Oryzias latipes: one gene and its partners. The protein of the gene in region 1 purifies or fractionates together with the protein of each later gene. This does not show direct contact. Links are inferred from orthologs where the notes say so. Each region holds a gene or a part of one and is shown in the gene's direction. Other genes may lie near its edges.

Evidence for each region.
Region 2: the proteins of ckap5 (region 1) and tacc3 purify together in Homo sapiens (co-immunoprecipitation; 5 studies listed by BioGRID and IntAct, with this or other methods). This does not show direct contact. The link is inferred for Oryzias latipes from reciprocal best matches to the Homo sapiens genes CKAP5 and TACC3.
Region 3: the proteins of ckap5 (region 1) and slain2 purify together in Homo sapiens (affinity purification with mass spectrometry; 4 studies listed by BioGRID and IntAct, counting the BioPlex papers as one, with this or other methods). This does not show direct contact. The link is inferred for Oryzias latipes from reciprocal best matches to the Homo sapiens genes CKAP5 and SLAIN2.

What each region holds. Positions count from the first base shown.
Region 1 is NC_019864.2:27,061,118-27,064,764, forward strand, and holds part of ckap5 (cytoskeleton-associated protein 5), read left to right. Parts: intron 1-937; coding exon 938-1,102; intron 1,103-1,217; coding exon 1,218-1,346; intron 1,347-1,415; coding exon 1,416-1,574; intron 1,575-1,662; coding exon 1,663-1,761; intron 1,762-2,828; coding exon 2,829-2,939; intron 2,940-3,016; coding exon 3,017-3,109; intron 3,110-3,459; coding exon 3,460-3,645; intron 3,646-3,647. UniProt on the Homo sapiens protein: Binds to the plus end of microtubules and regulates microtubule dynamics and microtubule organization. Acts as a processive microtubule polymerase. Promotes cytoplasmic microtubule nucleation and elongation. Plays a major role in organizing spindle poles.
Region 2 is NC_019880.2:12,228,343-12,232,476, forward strand, and holds the start of tacc3 (transforming acidic coiled-coil-containing protein 3), read left to right. Parts: upstream 1-1,283; 5' UTR 1,284-1,485; intron 1,486-2,880; 5' UTR 2,881-2,881; coding exon 2,882-3,046; intron 3,047-3,127; coding exon 3,128-3,237; intron 3,238-3,322; coding exon 3,323-3,360; intron 3,361-3,446; coding exon 3,447-4,134. Other genes in the region: kinesin-like protein KIF15, read right to left, coding at 235-265, 544-562. UniProt on the Homo sapiens protein: Plays a role in the microtubule-dependent coupling of the nucleus and the centrosome. Involved in the processes that regulate centrosome-mediated interkinetic nuclear migration (INM) of neural progenitors.
Region 3 is NC_019862.2:1,207,921-1,211,567, forward strand, and holds part of slain2 (SLAIN motif-containing protein 2), read left to right. Parts: intron 1-2,998; coding exon 2,999-3,215; intron 3,216-3,647.

The sequences.
Region 1 (3,647 bases):
TGGAGCGGGAACCGCATCAACATCCTCAGTCTCTTTCTACGTCTAAACTAAACATTAGATATCATTTTTATTTAACCAGCTCAGTGTGTGGAAGTAATATAAGCTAAAGCAGCTGATGCTCTAAGCTTCATGTGCTGCAGAGAAAGACAATACATTGTAATATCAAGGTTTGGAATAAAATGATTTTAAATGGAATAAACCTGGAGGCATAATGGGAAACAGATCTACAGTATGTTATTTGATAAATGTTACTCTATAGAGTAGGATTACTCTATGCCCACCCTTTTTTCCTTTTTTTTTTAAACATTTCATTTTGCGTCGAGCTCCAAAAGGGATAGATGTATGCACCAAGGTGACTTTGAATTCAACCTTTAAAGTTAACCACTTCTACCATATCTTCAGTCAAAAATGCTATATTTGAACTACTCCAACACTACACAGTAAGAGTACACAAATCTTTGTGAGGAGATGGGGTTTGCCATGTGAATTATTATTTTTGTGGTAATGCATAATTGGAACAGATGAGACATTTTATTTTGAAAACAGAAAGCAGCGACAATCGTGTTTCATGCTCTGCTGTATGACATTTGGCAATCGCCTAATATTTATCACTGATTTTTACACATGCATAAGCTAAAGACGATTTGATTTGAAGTGGTTTAAAAATATTTCTGGAGATGTTTGCTGGCGCAACATTTTCTGATTATACTATTAATAATTAATATCCATTGTGTGATTTAGAATATTTGAGAAGTGCTTCACTCTGGTTCATCATTTTGTCATGTTCTTATATATTTTAATCTTTGCATGTTTGTTAAGATGATTATTTTCTTGCATGTTCTTAATTTTGATATTAAATGGCCTTAAATGGGTCTTTAATCATTTCCGTAAATCTGTAGAGACCCGATTGTCTATAAGGCCTATGCCCTTGTTTTAGACGACTCTGCAGAACCTGTCAGAGGACATCCTGGCTGTGATGGACAACAAGAACCCGTCTATTAAGCAGCAGGCCTCCCTGTTTCTGGCCCGCTCCTTCAGGCACTGCTCGCAAGCCACTCTGCCCAAGAGTGTCCTCAAGCCTTTCTGTGCTGCTCTCATCAAGGTAAATGTCCTGCACGATTCATTTTGTTCCTTTTTGAATAAGAAATCACTATGAAATGGCTTGTCACTTAAAAGAGAAGAAAACTAACTTTTGTTTTTCCTTCAAACCATCCCAGCAAGTAAATGACTCCGCCCCTGAGGTCCGAGACGCCGCCTTTGAAGCTCTGGGGACAGTCATGAAGGTGGTGGGAGAGAAGGCGGTGAACCCCTTCCTGGCTGATTTGGATAAACTTAAACTGGATAAGGTGAGGTTCATTGCAGCAGAGACTGTTTGTTGTATTTGTAACCTTCCAACGGTGGGTTTTGTCTAACAGATAAAGGAGAGCGCTGATAAAGTAGAGCTTCCTGGGGGGAAGAAGGGTGCTGGAGGAGCACCGGTGGAAAAGAAACCTGCAGCTAAAGCCGCCCCTCCTCCTGAGGCTCCAAAAACTTCTGCTCCAACTAAGAAAGCTTCTGGTGCAGCAGCCAGCAAGGTATGGACAGACTTAGAAAACAACACATCCAGATTGTTGGAAACCTGCTGCTCTGAACTTTAGATCATGCAACTTATTTTTTCTCCAGCCATCAGCTGGTCCACCCAAAAAAGGCAAACCAGCTTCTGGAGGAAAAGCAAAGAAAGTGGCATCTGATGTCAAAGAGGTCACGGAGGCTGAGCTATCGGTGAGTCTGTGTGGAATTTCAACTCACCGGAGCAGAATACGTTAAAAGATAAATCAGCGGAGAGCTCTGAGTTTATTTCTGTTCAACAGATGAAAGGGGTTTTTGATGAGAACCACAATCATTATCAATAAATACCATAGTATCTGAAGGATACTATAGTAATCCAGTACGTGATCCTCCGCGATGACTGGAGGAACTTTGTATTATTGTCTTGATGAAAATAAGAAAAACTGCATAAGCCCATGGAGCTGGAATGATTGGGCGATGTGATATGGCGGCACCCACTGCGACTCTCCATCTGCCGGGCACCAGACTGCTGGTGGGCTGGCATAGCGAGCTCCGCTGCCCAGGGACCAGCACCTAGGTTGACATCACCAGCCGTCTCTGCCAAACCCTGGGTGGTAGTGCATGTTTGCTCTGCCGAACCCTGGGCAGTGGAGCTTGCTAGATAGTTATGCTGTCCTCCGTACGGCTGGCTAGCACACCGGGCGATCACTCCAGCTCCGTGGCCTTATGATATTTTACTTATTTTCATCAAGACAGTAATAAAAAAATAATCTCCAGTTTTATTTTTCCTCTTTCGGGTAAATGCTTAAAGTGGGCCACAGACGGATGAAAGGAACTTTTAAAACTGCTGTAACCCAGGTCCAATTCCCAGTGCTGAAGTGCAGTGCACCGGAAGCAACTCTAAATGATCTTGTGAGCCTCTTTAGAGCTCTCCAAAACATATAAACCCAATCATCCATGGTTTCCATGAGTTGGCGGTTGCTCTGAGGCAGCGGCGTCAAGGACGGGGTTCGAGCAGTAAATTTGACCTGTGTCAAGAAAGAGGCGGCAGGCGCGAAGCGCGCCTTGTGTGAATGCAGCACAACAGTCTGCACTGCAGCGCTGCATCTGTGCTTTCACACACGCTGAAATATATGTGTACTTCACTGCACATCACCTTGACGACGCTTTTGTTTTTTTCAGAGCATTGTACTCATTACTCTTATCCATCGGTTCACTGGGTCGTTGTTAATGGCGAATTTGCTAGAAATGTGCTTGTTAAACTACATGCTGTGTGTCAGGATGGGGTGTGTGAGGAGCTGGCTGCTGGGGTCCTTCCTGAAAACTGTCTGCAAGCTCTGGATTCAGCAAACTGGAAGGAGAGACTGGCCAGCATGGAGGAGTTTCAGAAGGTAAAGTCCTCATTCTGTTGCAGTCCCAGGAATTGGCATGTGAGAACAACATTCAGTGGCCAAATGTGTTCTTGCAGGCTGTGGAGACCATGGATACGGTGACAATGCCGTGCCAGGCTCTGGTCAGGATGTTGGCTAAAAAACCAGGCTGGAAAGAGACAAACTTTCAGGTAACTGTCTCTACCCTCAGAAGATGAATTCCTTTATAAGACAAAACTGGTAATAAAATTAGTTCTTTTCTTAATACTTTCTGTGTTTTCTTTAGCTTTAAACATTAGTGGATCAGTTTAACCAAAAATACCTTTTCATCATTTAAGAAGGAACACAGCACCTAAGAGTGCATTATTCTCATCCTCATTTCCATTTTTAAATGCCATTCCAGCATGAATATTTTTGCCAAAGCTGATCTGTTTTGTATTCAGGCATGTTGATGCTCTTATTCTCTAATGTGGTGAGACAGAACTGGTGGTTGTAGTAAGGGACATTCAAAGCACCAACCTCTTGCTGTGACCTTGTGCAGGTGATGCAGATGAAGCTGCATATTGTGGCCCTCGTCGCTCAGAGGGGCCAGTTCTCCAAGACCTCTGCCAGCGTAGTTTTGGAAGGGTTGGTGGATAAGGTCGGAGATGTCAAGTGTGGCGGAAACGCAAAGGAGGGGCTGACGGCGATTGGAGAGGCCTGCTCACTTCCATGGACGGCTGAACAGGT
Region 2 (4,134 bases), on another chromosome or scaffold:
CTTCTGTAAGTCTTGTGGGGTTTTTATTGGTGTTGACATTTGGACCTCGAATCTATAGTTCTATTCAACTGAAGTTTACAATAACACAGCAAATATGACAAGTAAAGTAAAACAAGGGAAACATAAAAATGAAAACCTGGGGTTAACCAAGTTGGTTTTACTAGCAAACACAACAACAAAGTGTGTATTATGTGTGTGTTTGTGTCCACAACAGTAATAAAATGTACCACCTACCTGGCACAATGGAGGGATGATTCTCCAAATCCTGTTTACAAAATAATAATAAACAGATCAATCTTCTTCTTGCGGTGCTCAAGAAAACCAATTTTAACCAATTTTAAAAACATTTCAACCAATTTTAAAGTCGAACCATCGTTTAGAGTTAAGTAATCTTGTTAGAAATGCGTAACTTTACAGCTTATTTCTTTCTGAACCTCCCATCATTACCGTGTAGTAAAGAACATCATGAAAAGCTTAGCTAACGATGGCGTCGGATTTAAATGGAAGCATAACAAATCCTAAACCAAGTAAAAAAAAAGGTACCTCTTCCGTTGGAAGTCATTGTTATAGATTGGCGTAGCAACCGTTAAAAAGTTAAAAACATCCCAATGGCGTGTGGATTAAAAAGAAAAAAGAACATCCGGCACTGTTTACACTCGGCAAATCTGGCGGGTTTATCCAATCAGTCTTCCTCGGCTTTTACGTTGGGTGGCAACCATCGTAAAAGGTGCTGGTTCGCCCCCTAATGGTAGTGTTGGTGTAAAAGGGTAATTATTTTTAACAGCACAGGCACACACAAAAATAATAAGTTACTCCTGCAACCTTTGAACTAAAGTGTTACCAAGTCGTATATTAAGCAGCTAGATTTAAAAGCGTGGGTCTTAAACAGCTTTAATTTTAAAATTCGGTCTATATTTTGTATGAGAAGTAATGCATATTGCTACACCCCAACTCTTTGAAAACAAAAGTTTGACAATATTTTTAAAGAGTTTTTTTTCTAAATAAATGGGATATTGTGTCTTAGCCTGGTCTTTTATTTTAGTTTTTTAGGTCTCTTTTATGAGGTCTTAAATGCGTAGCAAATCTGTACTGTGAGTAACTTATTTTGCCACCAAACGTTAAGCTTTAGAAATTAAAAAAATGTTTAGATGATAAATTTCTTGCAGCACAATACTATAAAATCACATTATAGTATGTGTTTTTATATCTACGGAGTTTTAAACTTGGTGCTCTGCTACTCCTAAAATGAAAATCCACTTTGCGTCATTTCCGGTCTTTGATCTGATTGGTTACTCGACCAGGAAGAGCGTCTGTTTGAACACTTTAAACCACGTTATTGGTGCGTTCGGAGACTTTTCAATTCCAAACGGCTGAAGCCCAGAAAAAGCTGGTGAGGGTTTTTCCAAAAGCAAATCCAGACAGGTCTACAACTGAATGTCTGCGTGAAAGAGATTGTAATTTTAAAAAACAGCCTTTTATTGTGAGGTAGGTGGAATAAAGAATTTCTGTCACGGCATTAGATAGCTTTTCTCAGAGTTTGTTGAATTGTTATTCATATCCTTTTACTAGCTAAACCGGCGTTGGCCAACGGTAGTTCTTGGCTTTTTCAAATGTTTATCTTTCATCAGGTTTAGTAAAGTTTAATCATAAAATATAAGACATAAACAATCTAACGAAATGTTAATATTTTTACGTTCACTTGCATAAAATGTATGGCTGCTTTTCTTTCTGTTAACATCCGTTGGATGTTTCGGACTACAGGCCGCATGTAGTCACACACTAATTAAAATGAAATCTTTCTGTTTTTCTGTGTTCGTATTTACACTTCTCTGACCACATTTTAGATTTTCTTATTGACTTCAGCAATAACTAATTATCCTTCAAACTCCGTCAAATTGTAATAGTAATAACAACTGCAGTTATCATCATCGTATATGTATTTATTCTTGTGTATTTGCACATCATGCTAGTGTAATGTATAATATCTCGTAAACGGGTTGTGGGGTTTTAAAATTGAAACTCAATGTTGTGATGTGGCCTCGACCTGAGAAGACCTATTGCAAAATTAACATTACCGCCCTCTAGTGGTTAAACACGATACTACTTAGTGTTATTTATTTATTTATTTTTTATTGTACATTTTTCAATTTACAGACATTCACAGTCACTTGCACAATAAACAATTGTTAATATCTAACACACATATAAGACCGAAAAAACAAAAAACAGTAATATTTTTAACAATGTGTGTACCTTTTTTTTTTTTTTTTTTTTTGTAGATGCTCATTTATTTTACAAGTTACTTTGAGATGTTTCGTCATTTGTTTTCTTGTATTTTCTAAATATGTTTTGTCACATTTTTTTTTACCCATAGTTTTTAATGATTTTATTGGTATTTTAATTTTTTATGAACACAATCTTAAGTGTTACTTTGCACTGTGGCAGCTTTTACAAATGACAGTGTTTTAATTCACTTAATTTAACTATCGTTATTTCTTAAAATTTTCAATGTTTCTTGTTAATTATTTAAGTTAGGTTTAATGCTATTACAACAGGGACATGTAATATTGATATAAATATTTAGAAAAAAGGTCCCATTTACTTGAAGTTGATTAAAATTTCAATTAACTTCATGACTTGATGTACACCATTGTATCCAGTTGACACTGGTGTTTTTACACAAATCAATGTTTCTAATTGCAACCAATGATCATTTTAAGCCAAAGTATGCAGTCTAACTTGCACATGCCCTTATTCTGGTAAAAACATCTGGTTGTGTGCATCACTTCCACATCTACAGTGTCTTATCAGCTGCGTACAGCTTTCATGTTTCCCCCCTGTCTGCAGACTGCATGTTCATTTGTTTTTCTGTTTTTGCAGGATGAGTCTTTCTGAAGTGAATGATGAGAACTGCGGGGTCTTCCCAGGTGGGAAACTTAACAGCTTGAATCAAGACATTTTTGCTCTTGATCAACCTACTGGGAGACCTTCTATCCTGCGTCAGACGGAGAACCTGCCCAACAAGGGTCTGCCAAAGGGGATAAAGGTACAGACTGATCTAGTTTGTGTATACGTTTCACTACAAGATGACAATCTCTATTATAGTTGACTCAATTTCTGTGCTCAGGTTTGTTTTCAGACCCCACGAAGAGACCCGTTAACCAAAAGAATTCTGTCCCCCAACAAATGTGCCACTATCTCAAACGTGGATGAGTTCTTAAATGTGGATACGTCAGAGTAAGTGACTGTCTTGGATCCCAGCGTGTCTCTAAATGAATAATTGTTGCACTGATGTAAGCAAGCCTGTTGTTTCTTTTGGCAGTACTTTATCAATGGAACGTGCTTTGCAGCCACCACAAGGTTCTTTTATCTTCTATTAAGTTATTTCCTTCAGTTTAGTCTCTGTTCTTGCAGTGAGGTTAACAGACCTTTTCTTTTTTTGACAGACCTGTCATCCTATCCTGATGATGACATGCCCATTCAGTGCAAAGGCGGCTACCAGTTGGATTATGACAACCTAGATGCGATTAATCCGTTTCAGGGGTCTAACATGATCCTCCTCTCCCCTGCGAAGCCTGTTGTGGACCATCCACCCGAGAATATCCAAGAGGAGCCAAATGTTGAAGATCTGAGACAAGATGACACACTTCCTTTCATACCATCCGTGGATAACTCCCTTGCTGATGTCAACATCAGCTCCACAGACAGCAGTGTGGTCATCGTGACTATGAACGAGACGGTTGAAGGGCAGGATGCCTGCGCGGCCTCATTTGATGAAGATCGAGCTGCTAACGTGCCTGCAAACTCTGATCTGAACAAACCCGGGAACACTTTTGAAGAGGACGCTCCACTTCCAGCCAAAGGTTCTTATAATTTCGATTTTGAAAACCTTGATGCTATCAACCCTTTTCAGATTGGGGGTTCTAAGATTCAGAATTCACCTGTTCTTGGGAGAAAGGTGCCAGATGATGGCGCACCTGCAGAAACAAACAAACCTGCAGCAGTGGTTTGTGTAGTGGAGGTTCCCCAGGAGGCGGCTGTCCACCCTGAGGCAAAACCCATAGCTGCAGTGGCTCCTGTATCGGCTAGTACAGCCAAGCCATCGCTACTTGCACCTGAGCCGGTCAGTGCTCT
Region 3 (3,647 bases), on another chromosome or scaffold:
TTGATGTCTGGCTGTTGGTTGTGTTGATGTCTGGCTGATGGTTGTGTTGATGTGTGGCTGATGGTTGTGTTGATGTCTGGCTGTTGGTTGTGTTGATGTGTGGCTGTTGGTTGTGTTGATGTGTGGCTGTTGGTTGTGTTGATGTCTGGCTGTTGGTTGTGTTGATGTCTGGCTGTTGGTTGTGTTGATGTCTGGCTGTTGGTTGTGTTGATGTGTGGCTGATGGTTGTGTTGATGTCTGGCTGTTGGTTGTGTTGATGTGTGGCTGATGGTTGTGTTGGTGTCTGGCTGTTGGTTGTGTTGATGTCTGGCTGTTGGTTGTGTTGATGTCTGGCTGTTGGTTGTGTTGATGTGTGGCTGATGGTTGTGTTGATGTGTGGCTGATGGTTGTGTTGATGTGTGGCTGTTGGTTGTGTTGATGTGTGGCTGTTGGTTGTGTTGATGTGTGGCTGATGGTTGTGTTTATGTGTGGCTGTTGGTTGTGTTGATGTGTGGCTGTTGGTTGTGTTGATGTGTGGCTGATGGTTGTGTTGATGTGTGGCTGTTGGTTGTGTTGATGTGTGGCTGTTGGTTGTGTTGATGTCTGGCTGTTGGTTGTGTTGATGTGTGGCTGTTGGTTGTGTTGATGTGTGGCTGATGGTTGTGTTGATGTGTGGCTGTTGGTTGTGTTGATGTGTGGCTGTTGGTTGTGTTGATGTCTGGCTGTTGGTTGTGTTGATGTCTGGCTGTTGGTTGTGTTGATGTCTGGCTGTTGGTTGTGTTGATGTGTGGCTGTTGGTTGTGTTGATGTCTGGCTGTTGGTTGTGTTGGTGTCTGGCTGTTGGGTGTGTTGATGTCTGGCTGTTGGTTGTGTTGATGTGTGGCTGATGGTTGTGTTGATGTCTGGCTGTTGGTTGTGTTGATGTCTGGCTGTTGGTTGTGTTGATGTCTGGCTGTTGGTTGTGTTGATGTGTGGCTGTTGGTTGTGTTGATGTCTGGCTGTTGGTTGTGTTGATGTCTGGCTGTTGGTTGTGTTGATGTCTGGCTGTTGGTTGTGTTGATGTGTGGCTGATGGTTGTGTTGATGTCTGGCTGTTGGTTGTGTTGATGTGTGGCTGATGGTTGTGTTGGTGTCTGGCTGTTGGTTGTGTTGATGTCTGGCTGTTGGTTGTGTTGATGTCTGGCTGTTGGTTGTGTTGATGTGTGGCTGATGGTTGTGTTGATGTGTGGCTGATGGTTGTGTTGATGTGTGGCTGTTGGTTGTGTTGATGTGTGGCTGTTGGTTGTGTTGATGTGTGGCTGATGGTTGTGTTTATGTGTGGCTGTTGGTTGTGTTGATGTGTGGCTGTTGGTTGTGTTGATGTGTGGCTGATGGTTGTGTTGATGTGTGGCTGTTGGTTGTGTTGATGTGTGGCTGTTGGTTGTGTTGATGTCTGGCTGTTGGTTGTGTTGATGTGTGGCTGTTGGTTGTGTTGATGTGTGGCTGATGGTTGTGTTGATGTGTGGCTGTTGGTTGTGTTGATGTGTGGCTGTTGGTTGTGTTGATGTCTGGCTGTTGGTTGTGTTGATGTCTGGCTGTTGGTTGTGTTGATGTCTGGCTGTTGGTTGTGTTGATGTGTGGCTGTTGGTTGTGTTGATGTCTGGCTGTTGGTTGTGTTGGTGTCTGGCTGTTGGTTGTGTTGATGTCTGGCTGTTGGTTGTGTTGATGTGTGGCTGATGGTTGTGTTGATGTCTGGCTGTTGGTTGTGTTGATGTCTGGCTGTTGGTTGTGTTGATGTCTGGCTGTTGGTTGTGTTGATGTGTGGCTGTTGGTTGTGTTGATGTGTGGCTGATGGTTGTGTTGGTGTCTGGCTGTTGGTTGTGTTGGTGTCTGGCTGTTGGTTGTGTTGGTGTCTGGCTGTTGGTTGTGTTGATGTGTGGCTGTTGGTTGTGTTGATGTCTGGCTGTTGGTTGTGTTGATGTGTGGCTGATGGTTGTGTTGATGTCTGGCTGTTGGTTGTGTTGATGTCTGGCTGATGGTTGTGTTGATGTCTGGCTGATGGTTGTGTTGATGTCTGGCTGTTGGTTGTGTTGATGTCTGGCTGTTGGTTGTGTTGATGTCTGGCTGTTGGTTGTGTTGATGTGTGGCTGATGGTTGTGTTGATGTCTGGCTGTTGGTTGTGTTGATGTCTGGCTGTTGGTTGTGTTGATGTCTGGCTGATGGTTGTGTTGATGTGTGGCTGATGGTTGTGTTGATGTCTGGCTGTTGGTTGTGTTGATGTCTGGCTGTTGGTTGTGTTGATGTGTGGCTGTTGGTTGTGTTGATGTCTGGCTGTTGGTTGTGTTGATGTGTGGCTGTTGGTTGTGTTGATGTCTGGCTGATGGTTGTGTTGATGTCTGGCTGATGGTTGTGTTGATGTCTGGCTGATGGTTGCGTTGATGTCTGGCTGTTGGTTGCGTTGATGTCTGGCTGTTGGTTGTGTTGATGTGTGGCTGTTGGTTGCGTTGATGTGTGGCTGATGGTTGCGTTGATGTCTGGCTGATGGTTGTGTTGATGTCTGGCTGATGGTTGTGTTGATGTCTGGCTGTTGGTTGCGTTGATGTCTGGCTGTTGGTTGCGTTGATGTCTGGCTGTTGGTTGCGTTGATGTGTGGCTGTTGGTTGCGTTGATGTCTGGCTGTTGGTTGCGTTGATGTGTGGCTGTTGGTTGCGTTGATGTCTGGCTGTTGGTTGCGTTGATGTCTGGCTGTTGGTTGCGTTGATGTCTGGCTGTTGGTTGTGTTGATGTCTGGCTGTTGGTTGTGTTGATGTCTGGCTGTTGGTTGTGTTGACGCTCTGGTTCACATTATTTTATCAGCACCACATGTTTCAGCGGGCGGACATCTTTGTTTTGGTTTACCTTTCATGCTTCTGTGCTCATTTGTGGTTCAAACAGGCGCATCGTCAGCTTTCGCTCCATTTGCAGATCATTTTTTCTAAAGTATGAAGGAGGAAGTATTATGGTATGGGCTCCAGTTAAACTGCTGTTCTGCCTCTCTGCAGTCCTTTCTCCCAGTAAGCTGAGAAGTCCCGCCACCTTATCGCCGCTGGCTCTGAAGCAGCCGCTCAAAGCCACATCCATGCCCAACTCGGCCACCTCCACCCCCACCCGCTCCCTGGCAGCCCCGCGCAGCGGCCTGCCCAGACCCAGCGCTTCAACAGGAGGAGGAGGAGGAGGCCTCCCCGTGCCCCGGAGCAAGCTGGTCCAGCCTGTGAGGAGGTGGGTGAAGTGTTGCCAGGTGACATGATTTGGGCGGGTTTGGAGTCGGTTCTGTGGTTTTTATTCCTCATTAAAATACTTTTCAATCAGACACGTGCGGTCAGAGGAAGCATGTGAGACACGTCATCATCCGCTCCATTATGAGCAACTAATAATAAAACAAATGTGTGTCCACTAATCTGTTCTGTACATGTAACCCTTGTGCTATCCTAGACACTTTACCATTGGGAGTTGGGTCATCTAGACCCACTAGACAGTGCTCTGAACCTTTTTTCTTCAATGATTTGTGATCTTCACTGGTGTCCATGGATTACATGAAATCTATCCACCTTTGTCATGGTAGGGAGAACACGTCAATGTAAGGGGGGGGGTCATCTAAGATAGCTCAAGGGTTAATTGATATGTATAAATCGATTCCTCATTTTCCCCAAA